Canis lupus familiaris: one gene and its partner. The protein of the gene in region 2 purifies or fractionates together with the protein of the main gene of each other region. This does not show direct contact. Links are inferred from orthologs where the notes say so. Each region holds a gene or a part of one and is shown on either strand. Other genes may lie near its edges.

The links.
Region 1: the proteins of CCNL1 (region 2) and CSNK2A2 purify together in Homo sapiens (affinity purification with mass spectrometry; 4 studies listed by BioGRID and IntAct, with this or other methods). This does not show direct contact. The link is inferred for Canis lupus familiaris from reciprocal best matches to the Homo sapiens genes CCNL1 and CSNK2A2.

The regions. Positions count from the first base shown.
Region 1 is NC_049223.1:57,630,274-57,635,407, forward strand, and holds the start of CSNK2A2 (casein kinase II subunit alpha'), read left to right. Parts: upstream 1-1,488; 5' UTR 1,489-2,222; intron 2,223-5,134. Other genes in the region: CCDC113 (coiled-coil domain-containing protein 113), read right to left, coding at 1-80, 1,061-1,284.
Region 2 is NC_049244.1:51,193,034-51,197,391, reverse strand, and holds the end of CCNL1 (cyclin-L1), read left to right. Parts: intron 1-422; coding exon 423-522; intron 523-628; coding exon 629-733; intron 734-813; coding exon 814-955; intron 956-1,402; coding exon 1,403-1,514; intron 1,515-1,670; coding exon 1,671-1,769; intron 1,770-2,311; coding exon 2,312-2,660; 3' UTR 2,661-3,224; downstream 3,225-4,358. UniProt on the Homo sapiens protein: Involved in pre-mRNA splicing. Functions in association with cyclin-dependent kinases (CDKs). Inhibited by the CDK-specific inhibitor CDKN1A/p21. May play a role in the regulation of RNA polymerase II (pol II).

The DNA of each region.
Region 1 (5,134 bases), on a different chromosome or scaffold from region 2:
GTCGCTGATCCCTGGGCTCCAGTTTATTATAATATTTCTCAAACATCTCTGTCTCAGTTTTGAGAGCAGAGTTTCCATAGCTGCAAGACAGAGGGTACCTGAGTAAGTTCTACTTATAAGAGTTCAAACCCCAAATAACTAGTATTTAATACTTAGCAGCTACCTTTACCTTCTGCAAAACACTCAACTGCTTGGTACCTCAAATTCCTCATCTGTAAAATGAGAATAGTAACAGTGCCTATTACGAAGAGTTGCAATAAGAAAGGCAAAGCCTTTAGAACAGTGCCTTGCACATAGTAAGTTCTATTTAAATATCTGATTTTGGGACGGCTCAGAGCCTGGGTGGCTCAGTGGTTGGGCGGCTGCCTTCGGCTCTGGTGGTGGTCCCGGGATCCGGGATCGAGTCCCACATTGGGCTCCCTGCATGAAGGCCGCTTCTCCCTCTGCCTGTGTCTCTGCCTCTGTGTGTGTGTGTGTGTGTGTGTGTGTCTCTCATGAATAAATAAATAATTAAAAAAATAAATATCTGATTTTTTTCAAATGTCTAATAAGCCACAAAACTGAAAAAACTGGCATTATGTTGAAAATCGTAGCTGAGATGAAGCTACAAATTCCACTTTCCAGTATCTTCGAACCCATTCATGAAATTCCTTCTGAATTACTACATGCTTGAAGTTACTACATATCCACAATCTTCGGATGTTTGCTTTGGTTTATGTTTCTCAGCTGTTCCTTCCAGCACCAGAGAGATGAAGTATCCACAAGCAGCGTATTGTAAATGGTGGAAAGGCTCGGAATAAACTGGGGATGACAAACCTAGTTTATCCTGTAATATGCGAAGATTTTGACCTTTTTAACTTTTACATATTTAAAACATACAAGTTATGTGTGCACGATATATATGAATATATGCATATTGGATAATACTGAGGGAATTCCTGTGGGCTAAAATTTAAGATTAGTGGAAAATGCTCAATGGAAAGCCGGAGGAATCAAAACACCTTTTTCCCCCCAGCACGTCATGCCGCATTCCAAAAACTGTAGCTATTAATAAGATTACCTCAGTTCTGACCTCAACTGTTCACGGACATAGTGAAGTAACAGCCGCTCCGCTGCTACAACCGGATACTCTGGGAGACCGGGAAGTTGTACAGTTGACCTCTGAACCTCCGGGGCCCCCGGCCTACCTGAGCTCTTCCACCAGCTCACACAGCTGGATAGTCGGCAGCTCGTTCTCCTCCCCGCCCTGCAACTCGACGACGGCGGTCTCGGAGTCCTCCTCATCAGTCATCTCTGCGCCCCAGCAGCCTCGCCAATGCCGCGAGAGACCGAGGGCGCCGAGCGCGAGCGGCCGAGCGTCACGCGGCCGGCGGCCACCTCGCGGCGCGTTGCCGGAGCGACCGGACGCGTGCGTGAGGGGCGGGGCCTCCGCCGGCTCCGCGCGGCGCCGAGCGAGCGGCCTCCCACCCTCCTTCAGCAGCCGTCGTCACCACGCCGCTACCTGCCGCTGCTGCTTGCGCCGCGCTTCCTCCGCCGTTGGCGCTGTGCCAAGCACGGTTGAGGCAAGTCCTTGCAACGCTCTCGTAACATTCTCTCTTATTCTGCTTATTCTCCAAGTAGAGGAAACAGACCCGGAAAGTTCATTTGACTTGTCGGAGTGTCTTCCTTCCCCCGCCTCGCTGTGAGGCCGCTATGTCTGCTCACCCCCTGGTGCTTCACCCACACTAACTGCAGTTTCTCTCAGACACCGATATCCTGCATTCCTAGAAGGGAAAAGCTGACCGATTATTAAATGGTATAAATTCAAGAGACAACCCTAAATAGGCACCGAAACAGCCATTATGTGCTGGGGGAACGTAAGGAACAGACAATCCTGAATCCAGCTCTCGCTTCAGATTAAGTGAGGGAAAGAGCCCCTAAACCCACTGTTGCAAGTGGAGTGACGAGAGCAACAATGTGGTGCCTCACAGTTTTTCACAGCCATCATTTCATTTAATCCTCAAAACAGTCTTATGAAATTAGTATTACTGTCTTCATTTCACGGATCAGGAACTGAGCAGTAGCTTGGCGGAGTTGGTCGTGGTCACACAGGAATGGAATCAAGGTCTGGCCGAACCCGAAGCTCCTACAGTCAGGTTCTACACTGATGTGTGCCCCGCAAGGACCCGCAGGGCGGCAGCCTGGCGTTCTGTCTGCCCGCCCTGGGATGGAAGAAGGCCAAGGTGAGCAGCCTTCTCCCGGTCAGGTGCGCGCTGGATGTGGTTAGAAGGCAAGCTATAATAAACTGCTTAGAGTGGAGGTCAGCCACCTCCTCCCATAAGGGACGCACCTTAGCATCAACATACAGTTACTAAACTCCAAAGAAAGATTTTTTGTTTTGGGGGGTTTGGATTTTGGTTATTTTGCATAGGGTGCAGATTTGGGGCCAGAGTGGAATACTGGAGATGATGGCAGAGAGGCTGAGCCCTGCCATCACCTTCTTCTCTCTGGTAGGCCTCTCTAGGAGCAATGCAGACCACGTTTAGAGATACTGAAGATGTTCATATACCAGGTGATACAAATAGAGGCCCGCCCCAAGAGGGCCAGAAAGGACTCTGTGCGGCAGGTCCACACAAGTTCCATAAGGTTAGAAGTATTGATGGTAGGGAAAGATGCAGTGTGAAGCTTAAAGTAAGATCTAGTTGAGGGACCACAATTGAGGACACAGGATTTTGCAAAAACACCATGCAGTCCACAGGAGGATATTTCACACCGTTTGAAAACCAGCTCCTGGCCTGGTTTTAGACCCTCATAGGGACAGAACGCTCAAGCATGCATCCAGGGGATCCCCGGGTGGCTCAGCAGTTTAGCACCAGCCTTTGGCCCAGGGCATGGTCCTGGAGTCCCAGGATGAAGTCCCACATCAGGCTCCCTGCATGGAGCCTGCTTCTCTCTCTCTCTGCCTCTCTCTCTCTCTCTATGTCTCTCATGAATAAATAAATAATTTTTTTATAAAAAGCATGCATCCAGCCCTGCTCATCGTGATGTGAGTCCTGTTGGACCCACCGAGGTATAAAGTTGGACAGGCCCAGCTTCAGTCCATTGCAAAATGGAAATGTTCTGTCCAGGATCGAGTCCCAGAAGGACCAGGGAGCATGAGTAAGCTGCATGAGCAGGAAGTCCAGACCTACTTGTCATCCACCACACTCACACCCATTTACACTCATGACCATATTAAGAGAGGGGACAGGATCACAACCAGCTAAAAAGGAGGAAAAAGCCTGAACTTGGTTTAGAGGTGGGCTGGTTTGGAATGTGAGTACAAGCCCAACACGGAGGGTGGCTGCATCACAACCACATTCATGGAAGGCTCTGAAAGACAGTAGAGGAGGAAAATCTTTTCACAGGGCAGAGCTGTGAGTGGCACCTGGTCATCTATTTTGTATGGAAGGAGAAGTGACCTCAGGTGAGAAGTGGTTACAGGGACTCATCTAAGGGGGAACTTTGGCTTAGGGACTCCCCATCAGCCTGGCTGAAATGCTGTTAGATGCTATCATCTGAGAAATTTCCTCTCCAATCCTCCCTCTTTTCTTTCCCAAGTATGAGACCTGTACTGTGGCCTGAACACTCTCCCTATCTACTCCAGTTTCATCTTCCTTGTCCACCACAGGCATTTCCTCCATTAAATAAATTTCACAAGTCTAATTCCACCTTGGCTTAGAGGACCTGAACTGACACAAATAATAAATTTCAATCCTAAAGATATTAAAATATAGTAACATAGCCTGTGTATGAACTAAAATCTGCATTTGCCAAACAAAAATACCTTGCTGTTCACACTCTGTTTTGCTGTATTACATTTTTTAAATTGTGGTAAAAAACACAACATAAAATTTAACATCTTAGCCATTTCTAAGTGTATAGTCCAGTAGCGTTTAGTATAGTCACGTTGTTGGACAACCAACCTCCAGAGCTTTTTTACATTGCAAAACTGAAATTCTGTGCCCATCAAACAATAACCCTCCCTTCCTACCCGCCCCCAGCCTCTGCCAACCACCATTCTACTTTCTGTCTCCAAGCACTTTGTGACTGCTTTCAATTCCTCAAATAACTCAATCAGAGGGGCCCCTGGATGGCTCAGTTGGTTAAGTGACTGCCTTTGGCTCAGGTCATGATCCCGGAGTAGTGAGATGGAGCTCTGCATTGGGCTCCCTGCTCAGCAGGGAATTTGCTTCTCCCTATCCCTCTCCCTCTCTCTGTTGATCTCTCTCTCTCTCCTTCTCTGTGTGTGTGTGTGTATGCTCTTGCTCTCTCTCTCTCTCACTTGCTCTCTCTCTCAAATAAATAAAATCTTAAAAAATAATAAACTCAATCAGAAAGTATTTGTTTTTTGTGACAGGCTTTTTCACTTTAGCATGTTCTCAAGGTTCATTCCCAGGTAGCACGTGTCAGAGTTTCCTTCGTATTGAAGGCTGAAAAATATTCTATTGTACATACATAACACATTTTGCTTCTCCATTCATCTGTCGATGGAGACTTGGGTTGCTTTAAAATTTAAACACAAATAAAAACAACAGTGCTTTAAAATTTAAACACAAATAAAAATTTCAAAACTTATTAAGTTGTATGTTGTTCAATATTTAAATATGTGCAGTGTATTGTACGTCAATTATACCTTAGTAAAGCTGTAAAACAAGCAAGCAAACAAACACAGTCTCTTCTCTACAGCCTTATACATCAAAGTACCTACTTAGTAGCTGCACACAAGTGTGGAGTGAGCATGTCAAACTCCTCCCTCCAAATCTGCTTTTCACCCATTCTTCTCCATCTCAGTAACTGGCAACTCCATCCTCTTAGGGACGCAGGCCAGAAAACTGGGAGTAATCACTGGCTAACTCTTGACTCCCCTCTTTTTCTTGGCCCTACATTGGATCTGTGAGCAGAGCCCATTGGCTGTGCATTCAGAATGAACCTAGAACTCTTCTCATTATTATGACCACCCTAGTTCAAGCTACCATCATCTTTTGCCTGAATTATCATAGTTGACCCCTCACTGTGCAATTTGTTACATGTCAGTTATATGCCCCCAGAAAAACCTAGGGTGGGGAGAAGAAAACACTGCCTATTTACCAAATTTTCACTCCTTTTATACTTT
Region 2 (4,358 bases):
GGCTTGAAGTATTGTTGGAGTGGTTTATCATTTCTGAAACTTAGTTATGTCAAAATTGACTTTCAAAGTATTGCCTTTTATAGAAATATATAAAAATAAGTTTTATTTGGAATAATATGGGATTATTTTATTTTTTTTTTTTTTTTTTTTTTTTTTTTTTTTTTTTTTTTTTTTTTTTTTTTTTATGGGATTATTTTAAAGGACTTTGGTCATTTATAGGAAAACTGGAGAATGGTTCTAGTGTTAAATTCTTACCTCTTACTGATTTTTGAGTTTAAGAATTGTTATATGCTAGAATATGAGGATATGAATATAAATATGAGAAGAAAAAAGAATAAAGTAGATTGAGTCTCCAATTTTATGTAAGCTTCAGACTGGCTGTTTTGTTTATGTACAAAGCTTATGGTTGAAATATTTTTCAGGAATTATATGAATGACAGTCTTCGAACCAATGTATTTGTTCGATTTCAACCAGAGACTATAGCATGTGCTTGTATCTACCTTGCAGCTAGAGCTCTTCAGGTAGGTATATATAGCCTGTTTTTTCTATAGGATAAAACACAAGACTTAGCAGTCCTCCTAATAAAAACTGAAATTTGATCTAAACCATTCTGTTTTTATGGTTTAGATTCCATTACCAACTCGTCCCCACTGGTTTCTTCTTTTTGGTACTACGGAAGAGGAGATCCAGGAAATCTGCATAGAAACACTTAGGCTTTATACCAGAAAAAAGGTAGTTGTTTACGCATGTTTAAGTGCTAAGAGTCTAAACTAGTATAAGGGGAAAATACTTACTTCATTTTCTTCCATTAGCCAAACTATGAATTGCTGGAAAAAGAAGTAGAGAAAAGAAAAGTAGCCTTACAAGAAGCCAAATTAAAAGCAAAGGGTTTGAATCCCGATGGAACTCCAGCCCTTTCAACCCTTGGTGGATTTTCTCCAGCCTCTAAACCATGTAAGATATATTCAGAATTGAAATGACTGGGCACTGAAGGTGTCTGGTTATTAGAAAGCTTTAGCATTTAGGGGCACCTGGGTGGTTCAGTCAGTTGAGCATCCGACTCTTGATTTTGGCTCAAGGCATGATCTCAGCCTGACAGGCTCTGTTCTTAGTGCTGAATCTGCTTGAGATTTTTTTCTCCACCGTCCCCTCTCTTCCTGCCCCCCCTCGGCCCTAAATAAAGAAGTAGATAAATCTTCTTAAAAAGAAAGCTTTAGCAGTGGCATAGAAACAATGCTAGAAGAATCTGTTACTGTTTTTTCTCATGTTAGTCAACTCAAGATCATACTTGAAAGCAGGGTACTTGAGTTATATTTAGAAACAACTTTTTGGCCCTCTGTTAAATCCAATAGGTAACATGACTTTGTGTTATTGGGTTGTTTTTGTTTTTTTTTTTTTAAGCATCACCAAGAGAAGTGAAAGCTGAAGAGAAGTCACCAGTGTCTGTCAATGTGAAGACAGTCAAGAAAGAACCTGAAGACAGACAACAGGCTTCCAAAAGCCCTTATAATGGGTGAGTGTCCTTGAGTTAGAAAACTGGTCTAAGGAATCTTTTATGTTTTTAATTTCTAACACACTAAACATGTACCTAAAATAATGGGTTTGTGTGTGTGTGTGTGTGTGTTTTGTTTTTGTGTTTTTTTTTTTTTTTTTTTTTTTTTTTTTGAAGAGTAAGAAAAGACAGCAAAAGAAGTAGAAATAGCAGAAGTGCTAGTCGGTCAAGATCAAGAACGCGATCACGTTCTAGATCACATACTCCAAGAAGACAGTAAGTAAATATTCTCCTAGAGAAAGGAGTCTTATTTGGAGTTAGGTTCCTACTTTTTAAAAAATTTAATGTAGATGTCGCAGTTGGGCTACATTTAATATTTTAACATGAGGTAAATTACGAGAAAGGAGTTTGGAAGTATGTCCTGCCTATACATGGCTTTTCTGTTTTGGGGTGGTGTAGCTTATGAGCTATTCTGTTTTTGCCCATATTTTGGAGAGGTGTAGGGGCTGACCACAAAGTGCTATGGAAAGCTGTAATACCTTGTTTATAATGTGAAAAGAGTTTTGTTCAATTTCAGTTAGAAAATATTAATATTTTATTAACTGTTAATAACCAATACTCAAGTTGGCCAAAGAGTCTTCCCAAGTTAGCTTTGTAATTAGTTTGCTAGCTGCTTATGTCTGTTCAGTGGCTCTTTTGAGCATGTGTGAGATATTCAACAAAAAGCATAGTTTTGTTTTGAAGCTATTATAAGCACCACCAAAATAATTTGGTCCCAGTAGAGACTGAATCTAAACCTCAAATTTTTATTATCTAAGTTATAATAATAGGCGGAGCCGGTCTGGAACATACAGCTCAAGATCAAGAAGCAGGTCCCGCAGTCACAGTGAAAGCCCAAGAAGACATCATAATCATGGTTCTCCTCACCTTAAGGCCAAGCACACCAGAGATGATTTAAAAAGTTCAAATAGACATGGTCATAAAAGGAAAAAATCTCGTTCTCGATCTCAGAGCAAGTCTCGGGATCACTCAGATGCTGCCAAGAAACACAGGCATGAAAGGGGACATCATAGGGACAGGCGTGAAAGATCTCGCTCCTTTGAGAGGTCCCATAAAGGCAAGCACCATGGTGGCAGCCGCTCAGGACATGGCAGGCACAGGCGCTGACTTTCTTCTTTGAGCCTGCATCAGTTCCTGGCTTTGCCTATCTATGGTGTGATGTATGGACTCATAATCAAAAACATTAAAACAAACTGATTAGGATATGATTTCTTAAAACCCTCTAGGTCTCTAGAAACACTGAAGACATTTTGTTTTGGAAAAACTATGTGTTTTTTTTTTTTTGTTTTGCTTTTTGGGGGTTTTTTGTTTTCTTGGCTTTTTTTTTTTTTTTTTCTTTCCCCTTTTTGGTTTTTGTTTTGGTTTTTGTTTTGTTGTTTTTTTTTTGTTTTTGTTTTTTTTTTGCACATTAAAATGCCCTAGCAGTATCTAATTGAAAACCATGGTCAGGTTCAATTGTACTTATTATAGTTGTGTATTGTTTATTGCTATAAGAACTGGAGCGTGAATTCTGTAAAAATGTATCTTATTTTTATACAGATAAAATTGCAGACACTGTTCTATTTAAGTGGTTATTTGTTTAAATGATGGTGAATACTTTCTTAACACTGGTTTGTCTGCATGTGTAAAGATTTTTACAAGGAAATAAAATACAAATCTTGTTTTTCTAAACTGCTTCAAATATCTTATTTAAATAAATTATTAAAAAAAGTAAAATTTTAATAGTAAAGTGCTTGTACTGATTTTCTGACAAATTTGCTCTTTTCCTCCATTAGCTATGGTTTGAGATTATTAAATACAGTTTTTACCTGCAGTGGGAGCTATTGTAAAAGTCTTAGCCTTATATATGGAAAAAAAAAAGGGTTGTGTGCAGCAATGTAATATTAAATGTTACATTGTAGCACTAAGCCAGTCTTATAATGAAATCTATTTGCACATAAATAGTATTTATGGTACCATTTCTTAAATGAGCTGCCCTCTTGAACAAATGAAAACGTAACATGACAAATCAGATCCAATTGTTGACTTTTAAGGTTTTTCTTTAAATTAAATTAGATATTTAATGAGGATTTTTATCTAAGCTAGGAAGATTCAGTAATAAAAGCTCTCCCCATCCCCCCACTTGGCTGGGGCTGATAAAGTCTGACCACTGAAGTTTTGTTGTAAAAGCCAGAAGTCCTATATCCAAATGAATACTTTGTAAGTTATTCATGTTGAGAGTTATTTTCCCAATAATTTGGAAGTGAATTTAGAAATCTTTTTTAAAGATTTTATTTAGCAGGGTACAGGGCGGGTGGTGACAAAGACAGGACACACACACAAAGGGAGAGAGAACCTCAAACGGATTCCACATGGAGCCAAAAGCTGGGCAGACCCACAACCTGTAGATCCTGACCTGAGCCAAAATCAAGAGTAGATAGATGTTCAACTGACTGAGCCACTCAGGAGCCCCTGAATTTAGAAATCTTAAAGGACATATTTTATAGTTAAAATAAGTTTTCCATTAATTTTTTAATACAGCTTGATACTTTATTTGTCCACTGGACTTGGCTCCAAATGATTTGCTGTTTCAAAAGATGAAATACACGCAGAAAGATACAAAGATTCACTGCCACTTAAGAGTTTAAAAGAAAAAAACTGAAGATAATTTCAAAAACCTATAAAGCATGGTCACCAGTGGTGGGCACCAGGGCTGGAAAAAGAAAGCCAACTAAGGCAACTACATTGAAGGAGACAAGACTCCCTTGGATTTTAAAATGTTGGGTGTGCCACTTTATTATTATTATTTTTTTAAGATTTTATCTA